Arabidopsis thaliana: one gene and its partner. The protein of the gene in region 1 interacts with the protein of each later gene in a pairwise test. Each region holds a gene or a part of one and is shown on either strand. Other genes may lie near its edges. The genes, in order: AT4G14103 and AT5G07490.

The links.
Region 2: the proteins of AT4G14103 (region 1) and AT5G07490 interact in a protein complementation assay, tested with the Arabidopsis thaliana proteins (one large-scale study listed by BioGRID).

What each region holds. Positions count from the first base shown.
Region 1 is NC_003075.7:8,125,286-8,129,214, forward strand, and holds AT4G14103 (F-box/RNI-like superfamily protein), read left to right. Parts: upstream 1-1,629; 5' UTR 1,630-1,662; coding exon 1,663-2,586; intron 2,587-2,719; coding exon 2,720-2,860; intron 2,861-2,939; coding exon of another isoform or gene 2,940-3,020; exon of another isoform or gene 3,021-3,038; coding exon 3,039-3,305; 3' UTR 3,306-3,548; downstream 3,549-3,929. Other genes in the region: AT4G14096 (F-box/RNI-like superfamily protein), read left to right, coding at 1-223, 335-475, 555-917; AT4G14104 (capsid-like protein), read right to left, coding at 3,595-3,929.
Region 2 is NC_003076.8:2,368,544-2,372,155, forward strand, and holds AT5G07490 (uncharacterized protein), read left to right. Parts: upstream 1-1,589; 5' UTR 1,590-1,704; coding exon 1,705-1,939; intron 1,940-2,245; coding exon 2,246-2,460; 3' UTR 2,461-2,783; downstream 2,784-3,612. Other genes in the region: KUOX1 (KAR-UP oxidoreductase 1), read left to right, coding at 311-626, 736-1,011.

The DNA of each region.
Region 1 (3,929 bases):
GTCTATTGATACTCCGAATCTTGTCTACTTGAAGTTTACTGACACTGTTGCAGGCAAGTATCCGAAAGTGAATTTCGATTCGCTTGTTGAAGCTCATATCGATCTTAGATTGTTACAGGGCCATCAAGGTTATGGTGAAAATGATATGGTTGGCAATGCAACAGATTTTATAATGCGTATATGCAATGTGAAGACTCTCTATCTATCTTCCAACACTCTTCAGGTTTGTTTTCATCATGAAAAACAACTTGTAATCTTTTTAACATTGTTCAAGGATTTGAGTTAGTGATTGCAATTGAGTGATGATAATCTAGTTGTTGTGGTTGTGTTTCAGGTACTTACTTACAGTTGTGATGCTATACCAATATTCAACAACCTGACTCATTTAACCATCGAGAGTAATCCCGAAGTAGGATGGCAGTCATTGCCAGGTTTGCTCAAGAATTCTCCAAATCTTGAAACTCTTATCTTCCAAGTAAGAAACAAAACCCTTGGAAAGCATTTGTTGACTCAATTTTTCAAAGTTTAAGAATATTTCACTATGTATGTTTCAGGGCCTCATCCACAAAGCCACCGATAAATGTGGAGACGTGTGCTTGTGCAAACCTCGTGAGGAGATTCGCAGTTGCTTAGCATCAAGTCCGGTGAAGGTTATAAAGATACTGAAATTTGGTGAAATCAGTGATGACATGGAGAAGCAGAGAGAGCAGATCAAGTATTTCTTGGAGACAATGCCGAATCTTGAGAAGATGATTTTGTACTACAATACAACAAGTGTTGAAGATGTAACTGAAGTTTCAAGCCGGCTTCAGAGGCTAGTTTCTAAATTAGCTTCATCGACGTGCATTGTCCAACTAATCTCTGATAACCTCAGCTTGTCATCTACTGTATCGACAAATGGGCTCCTCTGTTTCTAAAGGGTACCTCTTCGGTTTGAAGATGAACCTCTTTATCTCAGAGATGATTACCAAAGCTTAGGGAGTACCCTAGCTTGTCGTCACTAAAATAATCTTCTCTTGTTTCTGCCTAATTATGTTCTAAAGACGTGTTATTTAGGCTTTGTCCTTATTGACTTGCAATGTTAACTTCAGTTTTTTCTTGTTACAGTTGGTCTGTTGTGTAAAATGATCTTGTAAGAGTAATTGGTAGGAGTAAGCAGACAACAAAAGCTGAAACATCCCTTTTGTGTAAAGATCTGCAACAAAACCGAATTAACATTTTATCTAATCAAACAAATAAAACAATTATCGCTAAATCAAATTATGTCAAGTAATGTTTTTGTAAGATGCTAGTATATCTGATTAAATATATTATTTTATCTAATGGAGCTCAAAATATCTTCCAAAATCTTACAAAATCTTTTAGCCTTTTAGGACAAGACACTAAAAAAAGGCTAGCCTAGGAAGTAGGAACTCACACTTTCTTCTTCACTCTTGCCTACAAATACAATCGCCAAAAACCCTAAATTTCTACAATAGTTGAGTCATTTTGGTGAGCTATCTTCACTTTAGCCTACAAATACAAGTAAGTTTCAATATCGATCTTTTTATTTTTTCAAGCTAGCGTGTTTGTTTGTTTGTTTGATTCTTAGCTTCTCGGTTGGAACACGTAGAGGAAGATTGAATCGGTCTCGTGTCTTTGGTTTTCAGGTTGTTGAAAAGGATGGATCTTAGTGGTTCTAGAGATGTAATCAGTAGTTTACCGGATGACATTAGTTCCCATATCTTGTCCTTCCTCCCCACTAAAGAAGCTGCTTCCACTTCGGTTCTTTCGAAAAAATGGCGGTATCTCTTTGCTTTTGTCCCTAATCTTGATTTGGATGACTCTGTTTATCTGAATCCTGAGAATGAGACGGAAATTTCTACAAGTTTTATGGATTTTGTGGATAGAGTGTTGGCTTTGCAAGGTAATTCTCCTCTACACAAGTTCTCTCTAAAGATTGGAGATGGCATTGATCCAGTCCGTATCATTCCTTGGATAAATAATGTGTTGGAACGGGGTGTATCCGATCTTGATCTACACCTGAATTTGGAATCAGAATTTCTGCTTCCTTCACAAGTCTACTTGTGCAAGACACTGGTTTGGCTGAAGCTAAGGTTTGGGCTATATCCCACGATTGATGTTGAAGATGTTCATCTCCCAAAGCTTAAGACGCTTTATATTGAGGCAACCCATTTTGAAGAGCATGGTGTTGGGCTTACCAAGCTTCTTTCTGGTTGTCCCATGCTTGAGGATTTAGTTCTTGATGATATATCTTGGTTCATTTGGGATTTTGCCTCGGTGTCTGTCCCAACTCTCAAGAGGCTAAGGTTTAGCTGGCAAGAGCGAGATGAGTTTCCAAAGAGTGTGTTGTTAGATACTCCGAATCTTGTATACTTGAAGTTTACTGATACTGTTGCAGGCAAGTATCCGAAAGTGAATTTGGATTCCCTTGTTGAAGCTCATATCGATCTTCGCTTGTTGAAGCCTCTATTGATAAATTACCATCAAGGTTATGGGGAAAATGATATGGTTGGCAATGCTACAGATTTTATAATGCGTATATGCAATGTGAAGACTCTTTATCTATCTGCCAACACTCTTCAGGTTTGGTTTCAGTCTATCCCGCTTTTAAATTTATGTTACTTAGAAGAAGACAAACAACCTGTAATAACATTGCTTAAGGATTTGAGTTAGTGATTGCAATTGAGTGAATCTAGTTGTTATGGTTTTGTTTCAGGTACTTACTTACAGTTGTGATGCTATACCAATATTCAACAACCTGACTCATTTAACCATCGAGAGTAATCCGAGAGTAGGATGGCAGTCAGTACCGGGCTTGCTCAAGAATTCTCCAAATCTTGAAACTCTTATCTTCCAAGTAAGAAACAAACCCTTGAAAAGCATTTTGTTGTCTCATTTTTCAAACTTTGATAACATTTCACTTATGTATGTTTCAGGGCCTCATCCACAAAGCCACATATAGATGTGGAGATGTGTGCTTGTGCAAAAAGCCTCGGAAGGAGATTCTCAGTTGCTAATCATCAAGTCCGGTGAAGGTAATAAAGATACTGAAATTTGGTGAAAACAGTGATGACATGGAGAAGCAGAGAGAGCAGATCAAGTATTTCTTGGAGACAATGCCGAATCTTGAGAAGATGATTTTGTACTACAATACACCAAGTGTTGAAGATGTAACTGAAGTTTCAAGCCGACTTCAGAGGCTAGTTTCTAAAGTAGCTTCATCGACATGTATTGTCCAACTAATCTCTGATAACCTCAGCTTGTCATCTACTGTATCGACAAATGGGCTCCTCTGTTTCTAAAGGGTACCTCTCCGGTTTGAAGATTATCCTCCTTTACTCAGAGATGGATTGACAAAGCTTTGGGGGAGTAAGTACCCTAGCTTGTTATAGTCGCTAAAATGATTTTCTCTTGTTTCTGCGTAGTTCTGCTCAAAAGATATGTTATTTAGGCTATCCTTTTTGGCTCACAATGTTAAACTTCATTTGTTGTTTGTTTTAGTTTGTCTGTTGTGTAAACTGATTTAGTAAAGAATTAAAAGAGAGTCACATATTATCAGAGGGTCCGTAGTAAAACAAGAGATCACTAGTTTTAAACGGCAGATTTCGAAACTTCATCGCTGCCTTCATTGGAGATGGCATAATAGGCTGAGAGGTTGAATCCTTCGCGGGGTCCAGGAATGAAGCTTCCGTAGTCAGCATCTGGTATAGAAGCGAGATTGAAGATTTCTGAGACGGCGTTGTTCGCGGCGGCCTTATGGAATAACATTTGGACGACGGCACCGGTAACAGTGTAGTTGTCCTCGGGGAGTGGGCATCGGAGAGAGAAGAGATCATCAGAGATCATAGGAGCGAATAGCCACAAGGAGGAACCAACTTTAACGTCTAGGACGACTGTTGTAAAGTCCATACCTAGATCATGTGCAT
Region 2 (3,612 bases), on another chromosome or scaffold:
TGTTTTTCTTTCTAACCTATGGGTTTTATGATTAAAAAAAAAAAAAAAACAGTTTTGTTGCCTGTGTATTAAAGAAATTTAGAACTGACTTAAAAATAAACTATTTCATGATTTGACCATCTTTTATCTTAATTTATTTTATATAATGGAATAGGTTGAGGATTTACATTGTATAATTAAGAAAGACATAATTACTGTTCTGTTTTGTTTTACGTTTTTTAGACCATGTCTATCACATTTTGCAAGTACTAATCGTCTATTATACGTATTTAAGTACACACACGTGTTTGCGTTTTTGTGAATAATTCAGGGAAAAAATGGGAAAGTTCTGCGAGGAAGTGAGGAAACTATCGATAGAGTTAATGGGAGCAATAACGGAAAGCCTAGGTCTAGGGAGAGACTACCTGTCGTCTCGGATGGACGAAAACGGCATGCAAGTCATGACAGTTAACTGCTATCCACCCTGTCCGGACCCTGAGACGGCGCTAGGCCTGCCGCCGCATTCAGACTATAGTTGCATCACCCTCCTTCTACAGAACTTGGACGGTCTCAAGATCTTCGATCCAATGGCTCACGGTGGATCTGGCCGTTGGGTTGGTGTCCCACAAGTCACAGGTGTACTTAAGGTGCGTTTCAACTGTACCGGTTTAGACGTAAACAGAAATAATTGAAACGTTTAGATCCAAAACAAAAAATGTAATCACCATGCATCTTCGCTCTTTTTTCTTTATTTAGGTCCATATTGGTGACCATGTGGAAGTTCTAAGCAATGGATTATACAAGAGCATCGTTCATAAAGTCACTTTGAATGAAGAGAAGACGAGAATCTCTCTCGCGAGCTTGCATAGCTTGGGTATGGACGATAAGATGAGTGTACCGCGCGAATTGGTTAACGATGAAAATCCGGTTCGGTATAAAGAGAGCAGCTTTAACGATTTTCTTGATTTTCTTGTCAAAAATGACATTTCTCAAGGGGATAGGTTTATTGACACTCTCAGAATCAAGGACTGATTAAGAGGACAATAAAATAAATACAGAATAAGAATAAAGGACTGATCAGGTCTTAGCCCGGTTTGGTTTGGTACACGGTATGACTCAGTCCATGTCCTTTTGGCGTTTAACCTGTGATAACGTGGAGATGTATATCAGAGACATATATACGTGTTAAATTGTAATGTAAGATATATAATTAGCATATCATTCTCTCGATTTCCAAATATTCATTGAAATCAAAATACCACCCAAATATGTATGTGCGCGTCTAATTTAGATTATTTTTATTAAATATTTTTCTATTTACAAATAGAAGAAAAGAAATATAATATGCATGGTTAATTGGTTTTTTTTTTTAAACATAAATATTTTAAAAACATAAACCCTTTAAAAAAAAAAACCTTTAAAAAAAAACATAAATATATGTATATAATAATTCGAAAAAATCTACGTAATTAATAACGAGTGAGATTCATTCAAGAATTTTGACAAAGTCCTAACATCGATCTGGTCCATCTGTATTTACCAAAGGCGTAGGCCCTAAATTCGCCACCAAATATTTAATAAATTTTTAAGGGGTGTTTGTTTAGTAAAGAATTACGATTTTTATCTGATTTGACACAAAAGTATCTTTTAGCCTTAATTCGTTACGTTGTAAAGACACTGATCCAATCCCTTCTACACAACAAGATCGGATTATATAGACCCAATATGTACAGATCCGCGAGCTGGAACCGTGTGACCGAGGATTACTCGGTGCCTTGGTCCGCACCAAAGGGATTATGGAAGGGCTTAGACGAAGACGAGCCGGCTCCATACGATCCCACTGGCCAAGAGATGACTAAGAAAGAGAAGTCACGTACCAAGTTTGCTGAAAACGCCGTTCACATAATCCCTTTTGTCCTTCTTGCTTGTGCTCTCGTCCTTTGGTTCTTCTCTAATCCAGGTTTGTTTACAATTATACACATTGTGTCCCTATTCATGATCTTAGGCTATCATATATATTTGCTCGATTCTCTATGCGTGCAAACAAACCATCTATTTGAGAATGTTGCATCTTCTAGTCTTTTTGATCCAGTTATTTACTTGTGATAGAAGGCCATGAATCAAGTTTCCTTAAACACATAATCTTTCTTTTTTAAAATCAATTCGGAACTCACATGATAGATATGTGTAACGTACATACATATTTGATACTCTTAAGTAGATTTGTAGCGTCAAATAAAATGATTGCACATTTTTTTACGTATAGATGTAGATGTTGGGGTGAAAGGGGACTCCATTGCGGCTAGGATTGAAGGATTAACGATCGAAGGAGACATTGACAATGACAGCGACGGAACTCAGACCGGATTCTTAGGAGCCGCCACAGAGGTCGGACATTCAAAAAATAAACTAAAACGCGAGGCTAATAAACGCAATCGGAGGATACAAGCTTCAAGGAAAGTGATGAAAGGTTTTTATTAATCACCTTTTTGTTTGATAAATATTTACGAGATAAACTTTCAAAACGAATTATTCTTTTTTTTCTTTCTATTTTGATTGCGCATGTTAGTTGATCAGGAGATGTGTTTCTTTGGTTAAACTTTTATATTTAGTTCTTCACATTATCTTCAAGATCCACAAGAACTACTTTCACTCTGTATTGACGCCTTTCTTTTTGATTAATCTGCTACAACTTGGAGGACAGCGGTTTGATGTTTAAAAAAGACTAGGGAAAAAAGTTTAAACGTTACCATTTGTGCATGCAATTGCTTCTTTTCTTTTCAGAAAAGAATACGCGTCTTTCCAAAAAAAACCTTGTAAACTGGCATAAATTCTGATTAAAAACCGTCACTTTATAGATCTGCCAAAAATAAAGACATTAATCTAGTGTGTAAAGGCTCTAAACAAAAAGAAAACAATTATATCCGAATCCAATTTTTCTATAACATGATTTTAGATTCAACTGTTTTAGCTACAAATTAGAAAGAAATTATTTTTTTATCTAAAATTCATAGCTAAAACAGTTAGAATCTAAAACCATATTTTAAAAAAAGTAGATTCGGATATGAAATGATGAAAAAACTTTATTTTCGTACGATTCTCAATTTAAAAAGATGTATTTAACGTAACAATTTTCGGATATAACAAAAAAGCGATTTGAATAGTAGATGCGAGGAAAAAGTTTTGTTTTTGTCTTATCTTCGGTCCGAGAAAATGTATTTAACGCAAAACTTTTCGGACATAAAGAAAAAACGATACGAATATCAAGTGCACAGAAAAAACTTTATTTATGCCTGATTTTCGCTCCGAAAAAATGTATTTAACGCAAAACTTTTCGGATCTAAATAAAAAAGTGATAAATAAGCTTTTTATGGTGATAATAGTATGCTGTATAATCATTTCCTACTTCGATCAAATTTATTACGACTAAAATATAAATTATGGAAATGACATTTGCAAACTATTTCTATTGTCTTTGGATTTAGCAATGCTCTCACCAACCTACCAAGATTGCAAAAGAGAAACGGCTGTCGAGGATTTAAAGGATTCCTCTCGACACGTGTGCCAGATGGTGCTCCTCTCCTCTTTATTATTTTTAAGTTCTTCTGATTATCACTTACACGTGTGCCTTCT